Caenorhabditis elegans: one gene and its partners. The protein of the gene in region 2 purifies or fractionates together with the protein of the main gene of each other region. This does not show direct contact. Each region holds a gene or a part of one and is shown on either strand. Other genes may lie near its edges.

Region 1 (4,526 bases), on a different chromosome or scaffold from region 2:
ATTACTGTAGTCTCGAATTTTTATAGATTTTTTGATTAAAAAAATGTTCAAGACTACAGTACTCTTTAAAGGCGCACACCTCTTTGCAATAAACAAAAATTGTCGTGTCGAGACCAGGAAACGTAGTTTTGGCGCAAAAAGTGCAAAATTGGTCGTATTTTTCAATAAATTATCCAAAATTTTTCGAAATTAGCCAATTTTTAGATAAAAAAAACTCAAAATTTTCGTTTTACAGCTTAAAAATTGCAAAAATACGCGAATTTTTCATCGGAAAAATCGAAAATTTCACTGGATTTTCGATTTTTATTCAAAAATCGATAAAAATTGAAATTTTCGGTCATTTTTTCTGGAAAATTCAATTTTTTCCACCAAAAATCGATAAAAATCAATAATTTTACCTTTCCCGTCGTAATCGGCTCGTTGATATATTGATTACTCATCTGAAAACTGAAAATTTTCCGCAAAAATCTGAAAATCGCCGGCTGAAATATTCACACAGAACAAGTAACTATTGTTTGAAAATATCGATTTTTTGTTATTTGTCGGCAAGAAATTTATTTATATAAATATATATAGGTTTTGAATATCAAAAATACTGGAAAAAAAAGCTGCTACTAATATCTACACTGTAGAGAGGAAAAAGCCAAATTTCAAGCCAAAAAATTCACGAATTCACCCAAATTTTGGATTTTTTTCGGTCAAAATTCCGGGAAAATTGATGAAAATCAGCTAATTTTACAATATAATTTAGAGGAAATCTGGGGGAAAATTGGGGAAAACTAAGGGAAATTCTACAATTTTGAAGCTGAAATTCCGGGAAAAATCAGCTAATTTTACGGCTAAAAATTAGGGGAATCAATGAAAATCAACCAATTTTACGACCAAAATTTAGGGGAATCGGTGAAAAATCAGTGGAAATCCGGAAAAATCTGTGAAATAGGGGGAAATAAATAATAATTTAAGATCTGGCGTTGATAATCTTGACAAAATCGGGTTTCAACGATGCTCCACCGACCAAGAATCCATCGATATCCGGCTTCTTTCCAAGCTCAGCCGCATTGTCAGCAGTCACAGATCCTCCATAAATGATTCTCGTGGCATCGGCGACAGCTGGTGAGACCTTCTCTTTGAGGAATGCACGGATCCATTCATGAACCTCCTGGGCTTGTTCTCCAGAAGCAGTCTTTCCGGTTCCGATGGCCCAAACTGGTTCGTAGGCGATCACAATGTTCTCCCAGCTGACACCCTTGTCGACGATGGCTTGAAGTTGACGGAAGTTTACCTGGAAATTGGAAAATTTGGGTCTCGAAGCGATCGATTTTTGAAATTTATTTTTCTACAACATTAAAAAAAATCTTTATTTATAAGGAATTGGGTATTATTTTTCAGGAATTTTTTGTTTCAAATTTTATCGATTTTTCGAAAATTTTATATTCTTCGGGATTCTTTTTTTTTTTTGAATTTTTCGCGTTTTTGGGAATTTAAATTTGTATTTTTATATAAATTTCACGAAAATTCATTAAAAAATCGGGTCTCGAAGCGATTATTTTTGAACTTTTTTTGTTTTACCACGTGGAATAGGGAATTTAATCGATTTTTCGAAGATTTTTAAATAAAAATGTTTCTTCGGAGATTTTTTTTTGAACTTTTCTGCAAAATTCAAGAAAATTCATAAGAAATCGGGTCTCGAAACGACTATTTCAGGAGTTTTTTCTTTTTTATTGCCGGAACCAATTTTTTTGTTGAAAATTTGGCAAAAAAAAAAAGAATTATTTTTGGCGACCATTTTTTGTTGGAATTTTCCGCTTTTTTGGAAAATGATAAAATTAAATGTTTTCTGTTCAAAATTCACGAAAATTCATAAAAATCGGGTCTCGAAGCGATTATTTCTAATATTCGTTGCAGAAAGAGAAATATTGCGTTTTTTTTGAGGAAAAATTGAGCTCAAAACTATAAAATTCAGGGATTTTTTAAGAAGAAACTTTGAAAAATTCCCGAAAAACGTGCAAATTCGAAACAAAACCATTTTGGAATTTTCAAAAAATCTCAAAAACTTGATTTTTCTACTGAAATATTAGAAGAAATCGATTTTCTACCCGAAAAAATTAAGAAAAAAAATCTGAAAGTTTGAAAATGTTGAATTTTCAAATTTTCTTGCGAAAAATCGATAATTTCCAGTATTTTGCTCCCTTACATCCTTGGTGTGTCCGGCTTCACGCTCCTCGAGCTTCTCCCCAATGCAGAAAACGACCTTAATTCCAGCCTCGAGAGCATGCACGGTCTTCTCAGCGATCAGCTGAAAAAGAAATTTCAGATTAATTTCCCTGAAACTCGAATTTTTTATTGACACTTGGTGTCAGGCTGTCTCATTGCGGTTTGATCTACAAAAAATGCGGGAATTTTTCTGCCAGAAAAATGTGACGTCAGCACACTCTTGCGAAATCAGTGGAAAAGTCTGCGTCTCGAGAAGATCTTTTCCCGAATTTTTCGAAGATCAAATCAAAATGTATTAAACTAACAGCATCGCTTTCTCCAAAGACATGACGACGTTCCGAGTGTCCGAGGATCACCCATTCCAATCCAAGATCCTTGATCATTGCCGGCGAAATTTCCCCGGTGAATGCTCCCTTTGGCACTTTGTAGCAGTTTTGTGCGGCGACAAGCACACCGGCTTTAAGCTTGGATTTAGCGTAGGCCAGATATGGAGCTGGTGGAGCAACGACGACATCAACGGAGGAATTGTCGGCTGAGGCGTTGAGGAAGGTGACGATACCATCGACGGAGGCATAGTCTCCGTTCATCTTCCAGTTTCCTCCGACGAAGAACTTGCGAGTCATCTTGATTCTACAAGAATTATGGAATTTTTTTGTTGGAGGGAAATTTGGATAGAAATTCAGAATAAGGAGGAGAAAACGATAGAAGAATTGCTATTCTTTGTGAAACCGAGAGTATCGATTTTCCCGATTTTCTTGCCCTGTATTCTTTTCAAAAAGTGGCTCAAATTTAATTTTTAAAAATGTCGTCTCGAGACCTGGTATGGCTCAAAAATCGTAATATTTCGCCTCTAGCTAATTTAGTATTGATTGGCAAATGTAAGAAAAGTATATAGTTCAGCAAAAACTTAACTATCTAAAGATGGTCTAGTCGAACGTTTTTTATTGTTTAAGTAGTCTCGAAATAGTCTAAAAACACCGAATTTCATAATGAAACTTCTTGAAAACTCCTCCAAAAAGTTATGGCGGCTCAAAAAATTACCTGAAATTAGTTAAAATTTGAAATTTAACCGACTTTTCAAGCGGCTAACTTTTTTGAAATAACCGTCTAATTTTGGGTATACAAGTTAATTTCTTGTTGCAGTTTCAACTCGATTTTGGTACATTTAAGCTCGATGTATCCCCCAGATGTTACCAAATTTAACCAAATCTGGTGACAAATCGACCTCAAATATACCTAAATCGAGTTGAAAACGCAAGATAATTAACTTATATACCCATAATTAGACGATGATTTCAAAAAGTTAGCATCCAGCCGCTTGACAAGACGGTCAAATTTCAAATTTTAACTAATTTCAGGTCATTTTTTGTACCGCCATAACTTTTTTTGAGAAGTTTTCAAGAATTTTCATTATGAAATTCGGTAATTTCAGATAATTTCGAGTCGAACACAAAAGGAATTTTTGCTGAACTATATACCTTTCTTACATTTGCCAATGAATACTAAATTAGCCAGAGGCGAAATTTTACGATTTTTGAGACACACCCGGTCTCGACACGACAAATTTTCATTAAATTCGAGTCACTTTTCGACAAGAATACTGACAAGAAAATCGTGAAAAGTCGATACTCTAGAGTCTAGGCAAAAATTAAAAATGACGCAAATGACTTTCGAAAATCGTGATCAATAGCCAACGTTTGATAAGGACGAGAGATAACAATGGAAAATCGAATTCGACATTGTTTTTTCGAAACAAATTTCAATCGAAATCAAGACTACACAACAAGTGAGATAGCGGGGTTTCTTCGATTTTATTTTTCTTTTTTTTGGCTGGCCAGCAGCAGCAGTCGAGAGAAACGAGACGATACAGTGTAGACAATGAAGAGACGGAGAGAGAAGGCGCAGTCCGAGTTTGCACGTATTTTGTAATGTTCTGAGTAGTGTGTGTGTGTGAATGGCAGAAGAGTGTTTGTGGATAGATTCGATTGGGAAGGGTTATTACGGGAGCACAAAATTCAGAGAATACGTACTGCACAACATATTTGACGCGCAAAATATCTTGTAGCGAAAACTACAGTAATTCTTAAAATGACTACTGTAGTGCTTATGCCGATTTACGGGGCTCGATTTTCAAAATGGATGCTTAGTTTTAATATTCTATTTATTTCAAAAAATCGAGCCCGTAAATCGACACCAGCGTTACAGTAGTCATTTAAAGAGTTACAGTAGTTTTCGCTACGAGATATTTTACGCGTCAAATATGTTGTGCAATACGCATTCTCATAGTATTTTGTTCCAGTAATATATATTTA
Region 2 (4,337 bases):
TCGCAGATAGACTTGCAATTACATTTTCCGAAGAGATCTGGTGTGATCGGACTATCCCAACTTCCGTAGACAGCTTCAGTTGCCATTTTTCGGGCACTTTTTATGCTGTAAAAATAGTTATTTTAAGAGAAAAATAAATATATTCGAGATAAATTCGTCAATATTTACAATGAAAGCGTTTTTGTAATTGTGAGGTTTGTTTGTTTCCAAAACAATCAATAAAATTCAATTTGACAGACTTTCTAAGTGGATTAGTTTAAAGTTGTTTAAAAACATTTTTAGAAAAAACTCTTAATTTATAAAACAGGCATCACCTAAACATACAAAAATGCCATCATTATAATAATTGTATTTAAAAAAAGTAAAACTTGCGTTGGGGCAGAAAACAAGCGGAAGATTCGGAGAAGAATCTGCGTGAAATTGAATTTATAGTTTTAGGAAATGACTTAAAGTGATGAAACCAATCAGCTTATCGGTTTTCAAGTATGCGTACGGTTTTTCACCAGTCTCGTCAATTTTATGACATATATGCTGAAAATATGTTGCACTTTATTTTGTGGAATGAATAAAAAAGGAAGTTTATTGAACAAACATTAAAAAAAAAACTAAGCATTTGGAATGATATGGCACAAAAATTCAAATCACAAAAGGAGAGGACAAGAGTTGAATTACACGCAATTTTAGAACGGAACTGAGAATAATTATGCATGAAAAAAAAACATCTCAAATTGAATGAGAAATGAATATTTACAGAAAATCTAAACTAAGCTATTCGAATTTAATTCCCTGAGCCAAAGGAAGTTCCTTGCTGTAATTGATCGTGCAGGTGGATCGTCTCATGTACTGCCTCCAGGAGTCGGATCCTGATTCGCGACCTCCACCGGTCTCCTTTTCTCCGCCGAAGGCTCCTCCGATCTCTGCGCCAGATGTGGGAATGTTGACATTGACGATTCCACAGTCACTTCCTTTTGGTCTGAAAATTAAATGTTAGTTTTAAATTCACAATTTCAGAAAATCTCACCCCATCCATTTGAAAACATTTTGAATATTTGTTGTAAATAGAGAAGAACTCAATCCTTGATCAACTTCATTATTGATTGCAATAGCTTCCTCGAGGGTTGAGAACTTCAGAACATAGAGAATTGGGGCAAAAGTCTCGCGAAGAACAACTGGAGAATCGTGCTTCAATCCAGTGACAATTGTTGGGAGAACAAAGTTTCCATCCCTCTCAAGAACTTTTCCACCGTACTCAATCTTTCCTCCAGAAGCAACTGCTTCGGCAACTGAAGCCTTGTACTTTCCAACGGCCTGTTGGTTGTGAAGTGGGCCAATAATTGTGTTGGAATCCAATGGACATCCGATTCTTGATTCAAATTGAGCATAAGCTTTCTTCAATCTCTCGAGAACTTGATCGTAAACCTTATCGTGAACAATGAGTCTTCTCGTGGTTGTACATCTCTGTCCAGCAGTTCCAACGGCGGCGAAAACTGTTGCCGGTACAACCATGTTCAAATCAGCATCCTCGTTAACAATGATAGCATTGTTTCCACCGAGCTCGAGTAGAAGCTTTCCGAAACGAGCCTGAACTTGTTGTCCAACGATCTTTCCAATTTCTGATGAACCGGTGAATGAAACTAGATTGACTCTCTTATCCTTCACAAGAGCTTGACCGACATCACCCTCTCCACAGACAAGGGAACAGAGAGCTGGATTTACATTATTGGCAACAAGAACCTCCTCGACAAGTCTGAAAATAGTTATTTAGTGATTACAATTATGAAATAAGCGAGCTTACTTGGTCACAGCAATAGCTGTCAATGGTGTGGATGGAGCTGGCTTCCAGACAACAGAATTTCCTGTGACAAGAGCTAAAGCGTTATTCCATCCATACACTGCACATGGGAAATTGAAAGCCGAAATCACACCAACAACTCCAAGTGGATTCCATTGTTCGAGAAGAGCGTGTCCTGGACGCTCAGAAGGAAAGATTTTTCCTTCAAGTGATCTAGAGAGTCCAGTAGCGTAGTCGCAAATATCGACGTATTCTTGAACTTCTCCAACTCCTTCGGCAGAAATTTTTCCCATCTCGAGGGACACGAGCTTTCCCAGGTTTTGCAACTGCGTACGGAGCTTGTCTCCGATTTGACGGACGATTTCTCCACGTCGTGGTGCTGGTACCTCGCACCAATCGTTATAAGCCTTTTTAGCTTCAGAGATGGCGATTTCATAGTCTTGTACGTTTCCATTTTGTACCTGGAATTTGAAAGTTTTAAAACGTTTAGGGTATGTTTTTGAAACTTACATTAGCAATAGGGGAGTTATTTGCTGGAGCAAATGACTGAACAACTTGTCCACTCGCCGCCCATTTTCCATGAAAGACTCCGGCGTTGTTCTCCGTGAGACCAAGCTCTTTCAGGAATCCGTACTTTGAATCGTTGATCAGCAATTGCGACGCCATTCTGGTCTGCAAGGTAGCTGCAGACATTCCACTGCTCAACAATCGGTTCATCTGGAAACAAAAATATATTATTGTTAGACGCTTTGAAACAGAAGGTATTAGAAAACGAAGAGGTTAGTGGTCAAAAAACAAGAATGAATTGAAAAATGTTCGAAGGAGATTGAATGAAATGTATGGGCGGAGCGAGACACGGGCAGATTGTTTATGACGACGAAAACTGAGATGAAATTGATTGTTAATCAAGGAATTCAAGGACAGATTGCAGATCAATATCTATAAGACTATAGAATGCTGTAAATTTTATGACGTGGAACATGATACAAGGCTAATGATTTACAGCGGTTACAAGTTGTGTTTTTATGGCAGGCAACGTTTTATATATCTGATTGCAGAAACATTTTTCAAAAAATGCGCTCATAGCTCATGAAAAAAAAAATGCGGCATGCCAGTCCGAGGTAAAAACGAAGAAATGACGAGTCACGTGACTATTAAAAATATGAAACCACTTCGTGATAATTATAATAATTCTTTGATTATTAATATTAACTCATTCCCTTGTCATAAATATCATTTTCTCAGTCGTGATCTGCGGAATAGTAGTATTCTGCGTATTCGCGGCAAAGAAGGCGTGCAGCCGGTTGATATATATTTAGTTTCCGAATCAATGATGATATGAAGACAACCATGATAAAGAAGAACACAATGCAGTGACCACTAAAATTTGTGAAATGGAAATTGTGGAAAATTGCAGTCGCTTGCTCGACACAAAAAGAGCTATTCGGCTTATACATAACTTCAGGATAAAATTAATTCCCAGAAATTCAAATAAAAACACAGATCCACTTAGTTTGTATATGTTTCGTTGAAAAGGCGAATATTCGCACAAATTTCAATCTCTCGCACAATTTTTAACTACGGGAAAGCTAACAACATGGAATTATTGTGTCAACTTAATTGTAAATGTTTTAAAATGTTATTTTCACTGTAGAGTGTATTAAGCAAAATGCATTACATTTTTGAGCAATTTCAAATAAATCCCAATTTGGAAAAACTTGCAAAGAATTTGAATTCCCGGTAATTTTTTTCAAATAAAAACGCTTACCTTCTTAGCTGCTTTTGCAGCAACTGATGCTGCATTGGCAGCGGCCGCGCATCGTTTGCATCGTCTTATTCCCGAAAAGGGTGTATTGGGGCATTTTTACTGCGGAACAATGTAAATAATGAAAAACCTAATTTTGAAACACCGCGTAAATCCTCCCCGAAAAGCGTAGAATGTCTCTGCGTGGTGAGACCCAGTTGCGAAATTGTGTGCGCCTTTAGAAGCGAATTTATTTTCTAGAATAAATTCAAACGAGAATCATTGTTTTTCAAGGATTTCTGTTGAAAGTCTTTATTTTTTATTTAAAAAGTTATGTAATAATACATTTTAGAACCTTTTTGAATTGTAATATGCTCTCGAACCTTTTTATGCGTGTCTATTTTCCTCTTGAATCGTTTTCCAATCTCATTTCTCCGTTTTTTAGTTTTTGTTGGTTTTACTGAGATATTTCATAGTTGAATTCTTGTTTTCAGGTAGTATGTCGTCAATCCAGTGCCTGAACCCGAAAGCTGAGTTAGCTAGGCATGCTGCCGCTCTCGAGCTTAATATTAGTGGAGCTCGTGGACTTCAAGACGTCATGAGATCGAACCTCGGACCAAAGGGAACTCTCAAGATGTGAGAATAAACTGATCAAATGTATAATTGAGACTATAATCACATTTTCAGGCTCGTATCTGGAGCTGGGGATATCAAATTGACGAAGGATGGAAATGTCTTGCTTCACGAAATGGTTTGATCGTTTTGTTCAGATTCAGCGTTTAGCACTATTTAATTTCAGGC
Region 3 (4,946 bases), on a different chromosome or scaffold from region 2:
TTCGTCGTCTTGGCAACCATTGTCCCAAATACGGCTTATCGAATATATTTGAATGTGCCACTAATCACAACAAGGATTATCTATTTTCACGCCTCCTCCCCACGGTTTCATCCTTTCATTTTGGAAAATAATACTATCTGAATAAATATTTTCAATTGCCTCGCTACAAAATTAAAAAAAAAATTGAAACACACACACAGTTATGCGCTGTTGAAAAAAAACATTATAACCTCTATTAATAAACGCACCATTATTAATCTTCGGGGGATTTTATTTCTTTTGTGTCCTATGTAAAAATGTATAATTCACAACAAACTTAACCTTTTTCTTTTATTTCTGTACTGAATTATTATTACTACAATTTCAAGATGTGCCGAGGTGAAAAAATACTATTAAAGTGGGGTGTGCAAAACTGAAAAAGGTAATTCTCGATTGGTTCGATTGCCAAAAATTATTAAGTTTCAAACATTTTGCTTGAAACAAGCACAAGTTGTATGTTATGACAAATCTGTAAATTTACCCATTATTAACTCGAGAAGCAAAAGTAATCAAAGTTAAAAAAAAAGATTTTTCAATACTTATACACTTTCTCATTTCAATTGTTCGAAAAGATATTTACTTTCAGTTACTCGTTAGATTTTCCACTTAAAAAAAAACACACAAAAAATTGAAAGGTGTGCAAAAGTCCAATTTTTAAAATTTTGATTTCTTCTCAAATCTCGTGGCATTGAATAATTTTTTTTCTGTACTTCCATAAAATAATTAGTTTGTGAGTGGCTTGCGATTCAGCATTTATCGCCAAAAACAACTTGTTAGACTTCACTTGTTATGCATATCTACATGTAGCCCTGCTTTTTATCCAGCCGACACATCCATATGGAAAAATTGAAGATTTTTTCTGCGTTCACCCACGTTACTTTTAGACTGCAACAATGTGTCCGAGAGATTTTTGAAAAGTCTCATAATGGAATGCACCATTTTCAGACTATTTTTTGTCTCTTTGAGCAACAATTTCGAACGGTTCTTCTTCCTCTAAATAACAGGTTCATCATTTCTCGTGTTATTTCCTGGTTCTGGGTCGTTTTCTTGTTTCTTCAGTCTAGTTCTTTGACCAACGACAATTGACACATGGGTAATTTATTTCTCTTCACTTTTTTCCTCTACTCGAATTGACACAAGACTCGGTGGCTCACGCAAACGCTGGATATTACACAACAATTGTTTTCCGGCCATCGGAGAGTATGGCAAAAAAATGTTGTGAAAAGAAAGAAAGTGGTAGCCGACGAGGATGAGGTTCAAAAGACTCTCATACCGCCATCTGCTATTTCATTGCCGTCGAATGCCATCTGTTCCTGCTCTCATCGGCATCCATCTTTCCCGAAGTTGCCGAACATGCTTTACACAGTTAACCTCTATCGGCCAAAGGCTCACGCAACGTTGTGATGAGCCAGTAGAAAACAGTCAGAAAAAGTGATAAAAAGGGATACGGGATAAGAAGTTACATGAGAAGACAGGAAGATAGAAGGAAGGTTGATCTCCGCGTAATAAAACTTTGAGTTTTTCCGAGTTATTTGAAAATTGAATGATTTGGGGATTTTCTAAAACAAGAGAATTTGGAAAATACATTTTTACAAATTATATTGAAAAGTAGAAAAATAGAACATTTAACTAAAAATTTATAATTTAGACAATATTCAAGTTGAGAAAAATGTTTTTAAAAAATGGTGGATTTTATCAAGATAATTTAATTCTCAATCTAGACATAAACATCAACCTACTTGTGATATTTTTAGCTATGAACATAATCACCAAGCTTTCCAGAGTCTTTTTTTCTATTTTACAAAGTTTATTTCACTGCATTGATTGCGCGAAATCAAAATTGGAATAAACTCCAAAAATACCAGATTAACAAACAAATTATGTATCGTGTCACCAAATAAAAAACTATTGTTGCTGGAATTAAACAAAAATATAATTATTGAAATAGGCTCATACCTATTACAGTTGGTTCGAACGAACACAATGTTTTTTTGGGAGTGTAAACAAACAAAAAGAGCCATTAACGTTAATTTGAATACTGAAAGTATATTTTTGTCAGCAATCGAATAGACATTGTGCAATGGGAATTTGACTGCGTTTTCATTTGCAGGTGTTTCAAAATGTTATATATCAGACAAAAATAAAGTTGCCTTTTTACCTTTTGAAAAGATTTTTGATCAACACATTTTTTAATGCAAAACTTTCATATTATTTTTCTGCGAAAAAAAAACAAATGTCGAAAAAAAATTTGTTGAAAAATAAGCCACACACAAAGATGGAACACATTGAAAACACTCAGCACACATGCGAAGCCTTTAATTAAAATATTTCTTGCACATTCTCAATTATTCGTCATTTTCATTTTTATCTCAAGTCTTTCAATTTTGCAAATTTTAGACTCCAAGTACTAACACCTGATTACTTTAAAAAAATATATATTTTTCTAGTGGTGAATATGGAAATGTGTTTTAAAGTTTGAAATTTTTGAAAACGTGTAGGACGTCAGTTTGAATAGCACATTTTCATAATATTTTTGAATATTTTGATTTTAACTTTTTGAAAAAAAAAACATTTAAATAAAAGATATAGGACAAAAAACTTTTCTGTAAATTAATTAATTTATCTTGGAAAAAATTAGATCTTCAACAAACTTTTACATTTTCCAAATTTGTTTGTTTGTTGATTTTTTTCTAAAGTTAATCAATTAATGCGCAAAAACACTATTTTAAATAAAAGAGGATGGAACTTATTAATTGAATTATTTGCTCCTTACTTGATTGCTGAGATTTCAATCAAGTACATAGTTAGAGTACTGCAAAAATTGTGCCCGAAAGTATATGTTAACTTCTTTATAATTTTTTCATAAAACGCCATATTATGTATTGAGGGTAGTTGTCAACGTGAAACAAAACCACTGCAAAGTACCTACCAAAAATTGTGACAATACTCTCGAGCATCGATGTAACATCTTCTATTGAAAAATTTAATTCGGAAAATTGAGAAAAAACAACCAATTATTAAAAATTAAGTAAAAAAACTTTACATATTGAACAAAAGTTATTTGAAATCTGAATTAATATTAACCGAAAATATTCATTCACATCATGGCAATGCCAAAAGTCCCGAAAAAATTCAGAATCTTCACAATTTTCTAAACACAATCTAGTGAATAGAGTGGTTAACTGCATAAGTTTGAATGGAGTGGTATGTAATACAAACAAGAAATAAAGATACAAAAAATGAGGAGAAGTAAATGGAAACAAAGTTGACAGGTAAGAAAAAATAATTCAATTTAAGTGATCAAGGGAATAATTATTATTCGACAAAAATAATGTTATTCTGTCCGCCCAAACCGTTTGGCACCTGTTGATAGTCGCTCGACGTCGCCCATTCGCCATTGATCATGAATCGGAACTCGTGTCTAAAATTATTACTTGAAATTTGTGTTTTGAATTTGAATGTTGTTACCTTCCACGCGTCAAATTGACCGTGACTCCTTTCTTGCCGCTAACCAGTTTCTCGCATTTCAATGTGCATTTCCAGTTGATAAAACTTCCCTGAAAAATCAAATGAAGACCTATTTGGCAAAAAAAAACTTACCGTCAAGTAAACTTCCTGCTCTGTGTTCGAAATGGTCAACGTTACATTTCTTCCTTCGTTAGCTCCCCCAAAAATGAATGGATTGGCTCCGGCGAATGGCAGGGCTGAGACAAGTGGGATGGATGGGATGGCTCCGGTGAAACATGGCTGGTTACTTCCGCTGCAAATACTTGGAATAGTGATATCAAGAGAACCACTGGTATAACTTACTTGGCAAGGTTCCAAGTTCCTTGGTTGCTTTGGCTAATGGTGAATCCGTCGGTGGGAATGGTCATGGTGCTGGAGTGACTCCTAAATTATTGGAATTTCGATTTCGAATGAAATATTGCTTTGGATGAGGAACACTATATTCACACCGTCAAATACACTGTACACTCGTTTCAATTTTTAAAAATTAAATAAGAAAAACAAAACATAGTTAGTATTGTTTTCAATTCAACTACTCCGCAAATTTCAGAAAAAAAAATATAAAGTGCATTGCTTTCCAGACGTTAAGTTACAAGTAGTTCAATAAAATCTGTATTCCTTACCTCACTTCCTGTATTAACCTAAAAATGAAATATGAAAAAATTCTTTAAAGTTTCCTATCTGTTATTTTGAAAATTTATTCAGTTTTTGATTTTTATAAAGTCCTTTTTTGGGTAATTCTAGAAAGTGATCAAAGATGTTCATGCAATTTTTCGTTTTTATTTTTATGTAATGAAATGATTTACAAGCGCCGTTTTTGATATTTTAAATTCATGAAACATTCAATCTCGTATTGCTCTGACCCCAACTCCAAAGAAAACTCACTGATCATTAAGGCTTTGAATCTTCGAGTTTGCCGTGTCAAGCAAATTTCTCTGTAGGGCAACAGAGGATTCCAACTCGCCGACCTTCCACTTTGCATCGTTCCACCATTGGGAGAGCTCACCGAGACGCCACTCCAGCTTGCTCTTCTCTTCGTTGATCTCCCAGACACGCTTCTCGCTGTCCTTCAGCATTTTTTCAGCGTGTGAGGTGTCTGCTCTGGCCCTGAAAGAAAACCCTAAATTAAAAATTGCTTGTCATTTCAATGCCTTACTTCAATTGTTCAGTGATTCCCTTCAAATATCCGTTCTCCTGTTCCAACTTGCCGACACGTTCGTTCGCGTACCAGTTAGCCTCCTGGAGCTGTTGCTTCTCAGCCTCAGCTTGACGAATTGAATTGTTGGCCAAGCCGAGTTTAACCTCTAGTGCTCTGACGGCGGTACTCTTCACTTCTTCATGAGCGTCGGAGTTGAGTTGATTCTCTAAGAATGTTACCCTAAAATAATTTTTTTTCCGAT
Region 4 (5,572 bases), on a different chromosome or scaffold from region 2:
TATATTTCAATACTCAAATTCCACTCTTCATTCATTGTTTTGTTCAACTTCTCATTACATATTTCTTTGCCATAATATGCACAATGGTCAGTGAACTTCCAGCTCTGAATATCGAAAGGTTATTGCTTGCCTCTCCACCAAAAACTACACTCAAACCGAGTCCACCAACAGATTCGGAAATTCAATTAAAGCCTTCCGATAAGGCTTAATTTCTAATTGTTTTAATTTTTGACTCAAAAATTCATTTTCATCAGGCACGGGACATTTGAGGTAAATAGTGGGTGATCATTTCCTTGTCAACCCGAATTCATTACGAGTAGTCTCATTCATTTCTTAAATTGTTTCATTTCATTCCGCCATTCACTTTTTCATTTGTTAGCTCCTCTTTCATTTGCTTTACATTTCTTTTAGATTAGTTGAAATTTTTCTGTTCTTCTTTCTTGATGGTCTTTCAGTAATTGATTATTCCCCCGGTCATCGACTGTTTTTCCTTCGCTTCTTCTATTTTTATCATGTAAATAGAAATTCTTGTTTTTTGTTCATTCAAATTAAAACCCATAAAAACATTAAATAAATTTAAAATGTTCATACAAAACGCATACGAAATTACAATAAATCATAAATTAGCATGAAATCACAAATTGATGGATCTACGACTGATGGATCTACTTGCTGAAAATATAAATAATTTGATAAGGAAACGGATCAATTAAATTTTTGACCTTTTCTCTCCAATTGATTTCGACAAAAGTTCCACAACATTTTCGATTTTTGTCGAATTCGAGTTAATTCCAAACGTTCCGATTCTCCAGATTTTACCAACAGTTGCACCAAGTCCTCCAGCAATCTAAAATTAAAACAAGTTACGGTTTTCAAACTTCAAATTGGTGGATTTTCGAATTTACCTCCGTTCCATTTGTCATCATTTTTCCAGCAACATCTTTCCAGTCAACACCCTCCGGTACTTTCACAGTAGTCAAACATGGCAATCTCAATTTCTCATCCACTACAAATGGTTCCAATCCATGCTTTTTCAGAGTAGCATACAACACTTGAGCATTATCTTTATGTCTTTGGATTGATTCATCAATTCCTTCTTTTGCAATTGCAGAAAGTGCTGCACGAAGAGCATATACAGTGGAGATTGGAGCAGTGTGGTGATATCTGAAATTTTTCAATAAATTTCATCATTTCATAGTTTTTTCCAACCTTTTCAATTCTCCATCACAACCCCAATAGTTGCCCAATTCGATGGCATCAAAGTAGAACGAGGCGACGCGTTGTTTTCGGTTCCGGATTTTTTCCCTAAAAATGAAGAGGAATGCAACTATATGTGTTTTGTTTCTTATTCTTACATGGCTCGATCGGAGAATGAGATAGGCGCAAGTCCTGGTGGAGCGTTGAGAACTTTCTGGGTTGCCGAATAGACACAATCAACTTTCAGATCATCTGCTGCAAATGGAGTTCCACCGAGGGACGCCACCTGAAAATGAAAACTTTGATCATTAAACATCTATTTTCAATTTTGAGACTCGTTCGGCAAATTTCAATTTTACTACATTAAAAAACACCTTAAACTTTTCAGAAACAAAACCGTTAATTTTTGAAACATTGTAAGATTTATAAATAAATGGTGAGGATCGAGAAAGTTAAAAAAAACCACAAACCGTATCAACAAGGAACAGAGCACCATGCTCTCTGCAAGCATCTCCAATTGTTTCCAATGGTTGAGCAACTCCCGTTGAACTATCTCCCTGACAGACAAAAACCAAATTTGGTTTGTAATCAGCAATTGCCTTTCTGATATCCTCAACTGGAACTGCTTGCCCCTGCGGAGCAGTAATCTTCTTAACTTCGATTCCCATTCTATCAATTTTTAATTTGTAACAAGAATATTGATTTTAAAAACCTATTAGCCAAATCAGCAGCTCTTTGTCCCCAAAGTCCAATTTCTACTACAAGGAATTTGTCCCCGGGCTCGAGAAGATTAACCATCGCGCATTCCATTCCAGAATGACCTGAATATTAGATTTGATATTGAGAAAGTTGATATATGCACACTAACCAGTTCCACTGACAGCAAACGTATACTTATTGTCGGTTTTGAAGACATACTGAAGACCCAGACGAACATCTGCCATAATCTGAAATTAAAGCTTTATGAATTAGTTTTCGATTTACTATTTTTCCAACAAAACATAAAAAGATACCTGAACAAATTCTGGATGCAAGTGTCCTAACAAATTGCGAGATTGGGTCTCAGCAATCGAATCAGCCATGTTCGATGGTCCTGGTCCAAAAAGTTGCCGCGGTGGGACAACCATATCTTGCAGAAGAGCTTTTGGTGGAGCACGAGACGACATTGATGACTGGAAAAAAAGTAAAATACATAAATACTCGAAGAACATGGTAATCGATTTGGAAGTGATAATTTGAGAATATAATAACTAAAAGGTCGTTCAACACGTGGTTCTCAAAACAAATGTTATTAAAAACAAAACATTAACGAAAAACTGATCTTAAATTTAACTAAAATGTTTTCCATTTCGCAGTACTGACATGGAACTAATATGAAATGCGCTCTATTTGCATGTAGAATGGAGTAGAGACACAGAGAAACCAATTGGTCAAGAGGAGATTGAACGGTGTGTCCAAATGGTCAAGAATTGGTTTGATGTCTAGGGGAGAAGGGTTGAAGGGTCGAATGCCAAACGGCATACTAGATGGTTAGAAATTTTCCATAAATCAAAGTGGGTTTTTTTTTCACCAAATACTGTAAAAATCAAGTACATGATTTTAGAGTTTGAACTCGAAAGACATAATTTTCATGCTGTTAGATAATTTTTTTTAAGGAAAAAACCTTCAAAAACTTTTTTTAATGAACAATGGCATATAAATATAAAATAATTGCAGTAACTAAAAAGATTGTATCAATGAACAGTTTCATCAATGATAACACATATGTTGATGTATGATGACAATAAACTCTCAGAGGCGGTTCCAATTTGTGTACTCAATAAACCTATTATTTTTGAACCAATTGAACTCACCTTAATTCCAAATCCAAAAATCGAGACTGAAGGTCTTAGAAATCGCGTTGAAATCATATCTTCGAAATTAAATCAATTGAGGAAGAATATTGAGGTAGAGAAGAAAACTTGAGGAGGTTGTCCTGCAGGCGGCAAATATCTCTGTGACTCCTCAAAGTACATTGTTCTTTCATTTTCACTGACTGACTGACTGACTGAGGGGCTATTTTATCACAATGTATAAATGACCAGTCGATGGTATAAATGATAACGAGAAGACACCCAGAGATCGGTCAATTTTTAGAGAAGAGTTCAAAGAAACACTTGAAAGTGCACTGGGGAAAACCTCGTGGTTATTTTATAGTTTATGGAAATTGAGTGGAAAACAACACTTTTTTGCAATTTGGTTTGAGCATAATTTTTATGGATAGTTCATTGGCACATTTCCGTTAATCTAGAAAATAACGTTTCAAGATTTAGGAGATCATCCGAAAAAAACTAGTGGAATTTTTTAAATACACAGTTTAAAAATCAGTTAAAATTTTAATAAAGTGCGAACAATAAGCTATAATGGGAACTAAAGTGGTCTAATCAATGACGTGGAATTAGTCAGATGGCTACAAAAAAACATTAAAACATTTTTCAAAATTGTCTACCAAATAATGAAACTAGAAAATTTAAGGACTACCAACTTATCTTACTCAAAACAATACAAATCGAGAAAGATTACCAACTTCAAGAGAGTTTAATTTGAACTTTACCTCGAACAACGAGCAGATCCAGAGAAGTTTAGACTTCGGAATAAATTTTTTTTCTAGTTTCATTTCCATGAAAATAGCATTTCACGTCTACAGAAATTGATACGATGAATAAATTTAGAAATTAATATTTAAAAGTTCATTGGTTTGTGTTAACTTTGGAAAAATAATAAAGCTTTGAGATATTAACTTCTGAACATTTTCAAATTTAGCTTCTACATCTTATTCCTTGAATTTCGCCTAGCTTCGTCTGAAATCTCCTCACATTTTTCTTTACCCAAATCTATAAATGAGTTTTTCAGCCAATTCACTTGTATGCCTGGAGATACCTTGAGAATTCGGAAAGTACTGATTCGTGAAGAACACTTTCCAGATCACACGAGTTTATTGCACATTTTGAAATGTTTTGAACAATTGCACATTTTATTGATAAAAATAAGAAAACTGCTCAGGTTTTTCGAAATCGAGTTGGATTCAATTACAGGTCAACTCAAATTTGTGATGTCTCGTGATCTTTGAAGCTCTCCGGTTTCAGTGTCTGTTTTTGCTGTGAACACTATCTTTCTCTATCTTTTTTTTCTTCAGCTTCATCCTTTGAGCTTTTTCGTCTTCATTTCTTCATCTCCTCCCTCGCTTTTAACTTCTCACACTGGATCACAAGCGTGCCCTTCGATCCCGATCCTCTTGGCCGAATATCTTTACACACCGACTTGATGTCTGCGTCTCACCAATCATTTTGAATGTTTCGAGAGGATAGAGATAGTTGCTCATCGCCCGGGAGTCACAGCTGCCTCTTCCTGCTTCTCCTCCACCTCCTCTACATTCCAAAGCAAAAAGAGTTTGTATTATTGAAGAATCATGTTGTTTCTGCATCATTCTAGATCACTCGTCATATCTAACCACACTTTCAAACTTTCTTGCCCAACGCAAACCATTTTGAAAATGTGTTTCATTTGTTTGCCGAACAAAAATGCATCTAAAGAGCTGCCCCTACCTCTTGATGGATCATGCGAAAAAAAGGCGGGACGTTCAAACTGTTGACTCTTTTCTTTTTTCGTTTATCTTATCTCTCTCTCGTGTTGCTCTTTGTCTCATCTTATTGTAAATTGATTTTCGAAAAATTTCAGATATTCTAATCACATTTTCCAACATTTCAATGGTCGCTGCCACAGAAATGGATGGAGAATCTATAGTTGATATTAAAGTAAGGCATAATTGTAATGATAAAAAACGAGATTTAGAAATTTAAGTTTTTGATTGTGAAAATGAGTAATGAGTAATGAAATTAGGCATTGGAAAATATACTAAATTTTTGCAGTAGTTGCCTACTTAAAACGGCTTTCACACCAAAATTTCTTCAGAAAAGATTTTATAGAATTCGTTTTGTTTTCCAGCATGATCAAATTGAAGATGACGAGACAGAAGAAAAAGAACCTCCTGTAATGAAGTTGGATTTCGAAAAACTATTCAAAATGGCAGAAGATCCAGATCTTGAGGAATTGCTAAGATCACCATTGGATCAGGCTCTAATCAATTTAGAGTAAGATTTATTAATTAAAAAATCAAAATTGATTTTTCGACATTTTGTAAAAAAGGAAATCGTTCATACCATAAAATTTTCAGAGACGGAACTGAAATTCAAAAGCTCACATCAATTCGCACATTTCCTGACATTCTGGACACCTCCGACGGAGAAAAGTGCCTTCTAAAAATGCTACCAGCAATTCAAAAATGTTTGAAAATTGAAAAATCAAACCTAGACCTTCACTGTGAAGCTGCAGTTGT

What was found.
Region 1: the proteins of alh-9 (region 2) and tpi-1 fractionate together in Caenorhabditis elegans (co-fractionation; one large-scale study listed by BioGRID). This does not show direct contact.
Region 3: the proteins of alh-9 (region 2) and F46H5.3 fractionate together in Caenorhabditis elegans (co-fractionation; one large-scale study listed by BioGRID). This does not show direct contact.
Region 4: the proteins of alh-9 (region 2) and agxt-1 fractionate together in Caenorhabditis elegans (co-fractionation; one large-scale study listed by BioGRID). This does not show direct contact.

Annotation. Positions count from the first base shown.
Region 1 is NC_003280.10:12,036,296-12,040,821, forward strand, and holds tpi-1 (Triosephosphate isomerase), read right to left. Parts: upstream 2,845-4,526; 5' UTR 2,838-2,844; coding exon 2,520-2,837; intron 2,297-2,519; coding exon 2,195-2,296; intron 1,283-2,194; coding exon 959-1,282; 3' UTR 540-958; downstream 1-539. Other genes in the region: cyn-16 (Spliceosome-associated protein CWC27 homolog), read right to left, coding at 399-440. UniProt on the Caenorhabditis elegans protein: Triosephosphate isomerase is an extremely efficient metabolic enzyme that catalyzes the interconversion between dihydroxyacetone phosphate (DHAP) and D-glyceraldehyde-3-phosphate (G3P) in glycolysis and gluconeogenesis.
Region 2 is NC_003281.10:5,855,381-5,859,717, reverse strand, and holds alh-9 (Putative aldehyde dehydrogenase family 7 member A1 homolog), read right to left. Parts: upstream 2,510-4,337; coding exon 2,303-2,509; intron 2,254-2,302; coding exon 1,796-2,253; intron 1,748-1,795; coding exon 1,022-1,747; intron 974-1,021; coding exon 769-973; 3' UTR 539-768; downstream 1-538. Other genes in the region: dpf-4 (Peptidase S9 prolyl oligopeptidase catalytic domain-containing protein), read right to left, coding at 1-86; cct-6 (T-complex protein 1 subunit zeta), read left to right, coding at 4,036-4,172, 4,224-4,287, 4,336-4,337.
Region 3 is NC_003284.9:7,235,656-7,240,601, forward strand, and holds the start of F46H5.3 (putative arginine kinase F46H5.3), read right to left. Parts: upstream 3,008-4,946; coding exon 2,969-3,007; intron 1,391-2,968; exon of another isoform or gene 1,247-1,390; intron 1-1,246. Other genes in the region: F46H5.7 (AMPK1_CBM domain-containing protein), read right to left, coding at 3,355-3,460, 3,508-3,596, 3,640-3,799, 3,850-3,930, 4,170-4,187, 4,432-4,653, 4,703-4,924.
Region 4 is NC_003280.10:8,843,858-8,849,429, reverse strand, and holds agxt-1 (Alanine--glyoxylate aminotransferase), read right to left. Parts: upstream 3,833-5,572; 5' UTR 3,791-3,832; intron 3,201-3,790; 5' UTR 3,108-3,200; coding exon 3,051-3,107; intron 2,370-3,050; coding exon 2,211-2,369; intron 2,145-2,210; coding exon 2,066-2,144; intron 2,019-2,065; coding exon 1,910-2,018; intron 1,867-1,909; coding exon 1,668-1,866; intron 1,484-1,667; coding exon 1,356-1,483; intron 1,306-1,355; coding exon 1,210-1,305; intron 1,165-1,209; coding exon 906-1,164; intron 848-905; coding exon 723-847; intron 673-722; coding exon 666-672; 3' UTR 528-665; downstream 1-527. Other genes in the region: oac-46 (Acyltransferase 3 domain-containing protein), read left to right, coding at 1-209; F46C5.6 (Serine/threonine-protein phosphatase 4 regulatory subunit 4), read left to right, coding at 4,944-4,991, 5,182-5,327, 5,411-5,572.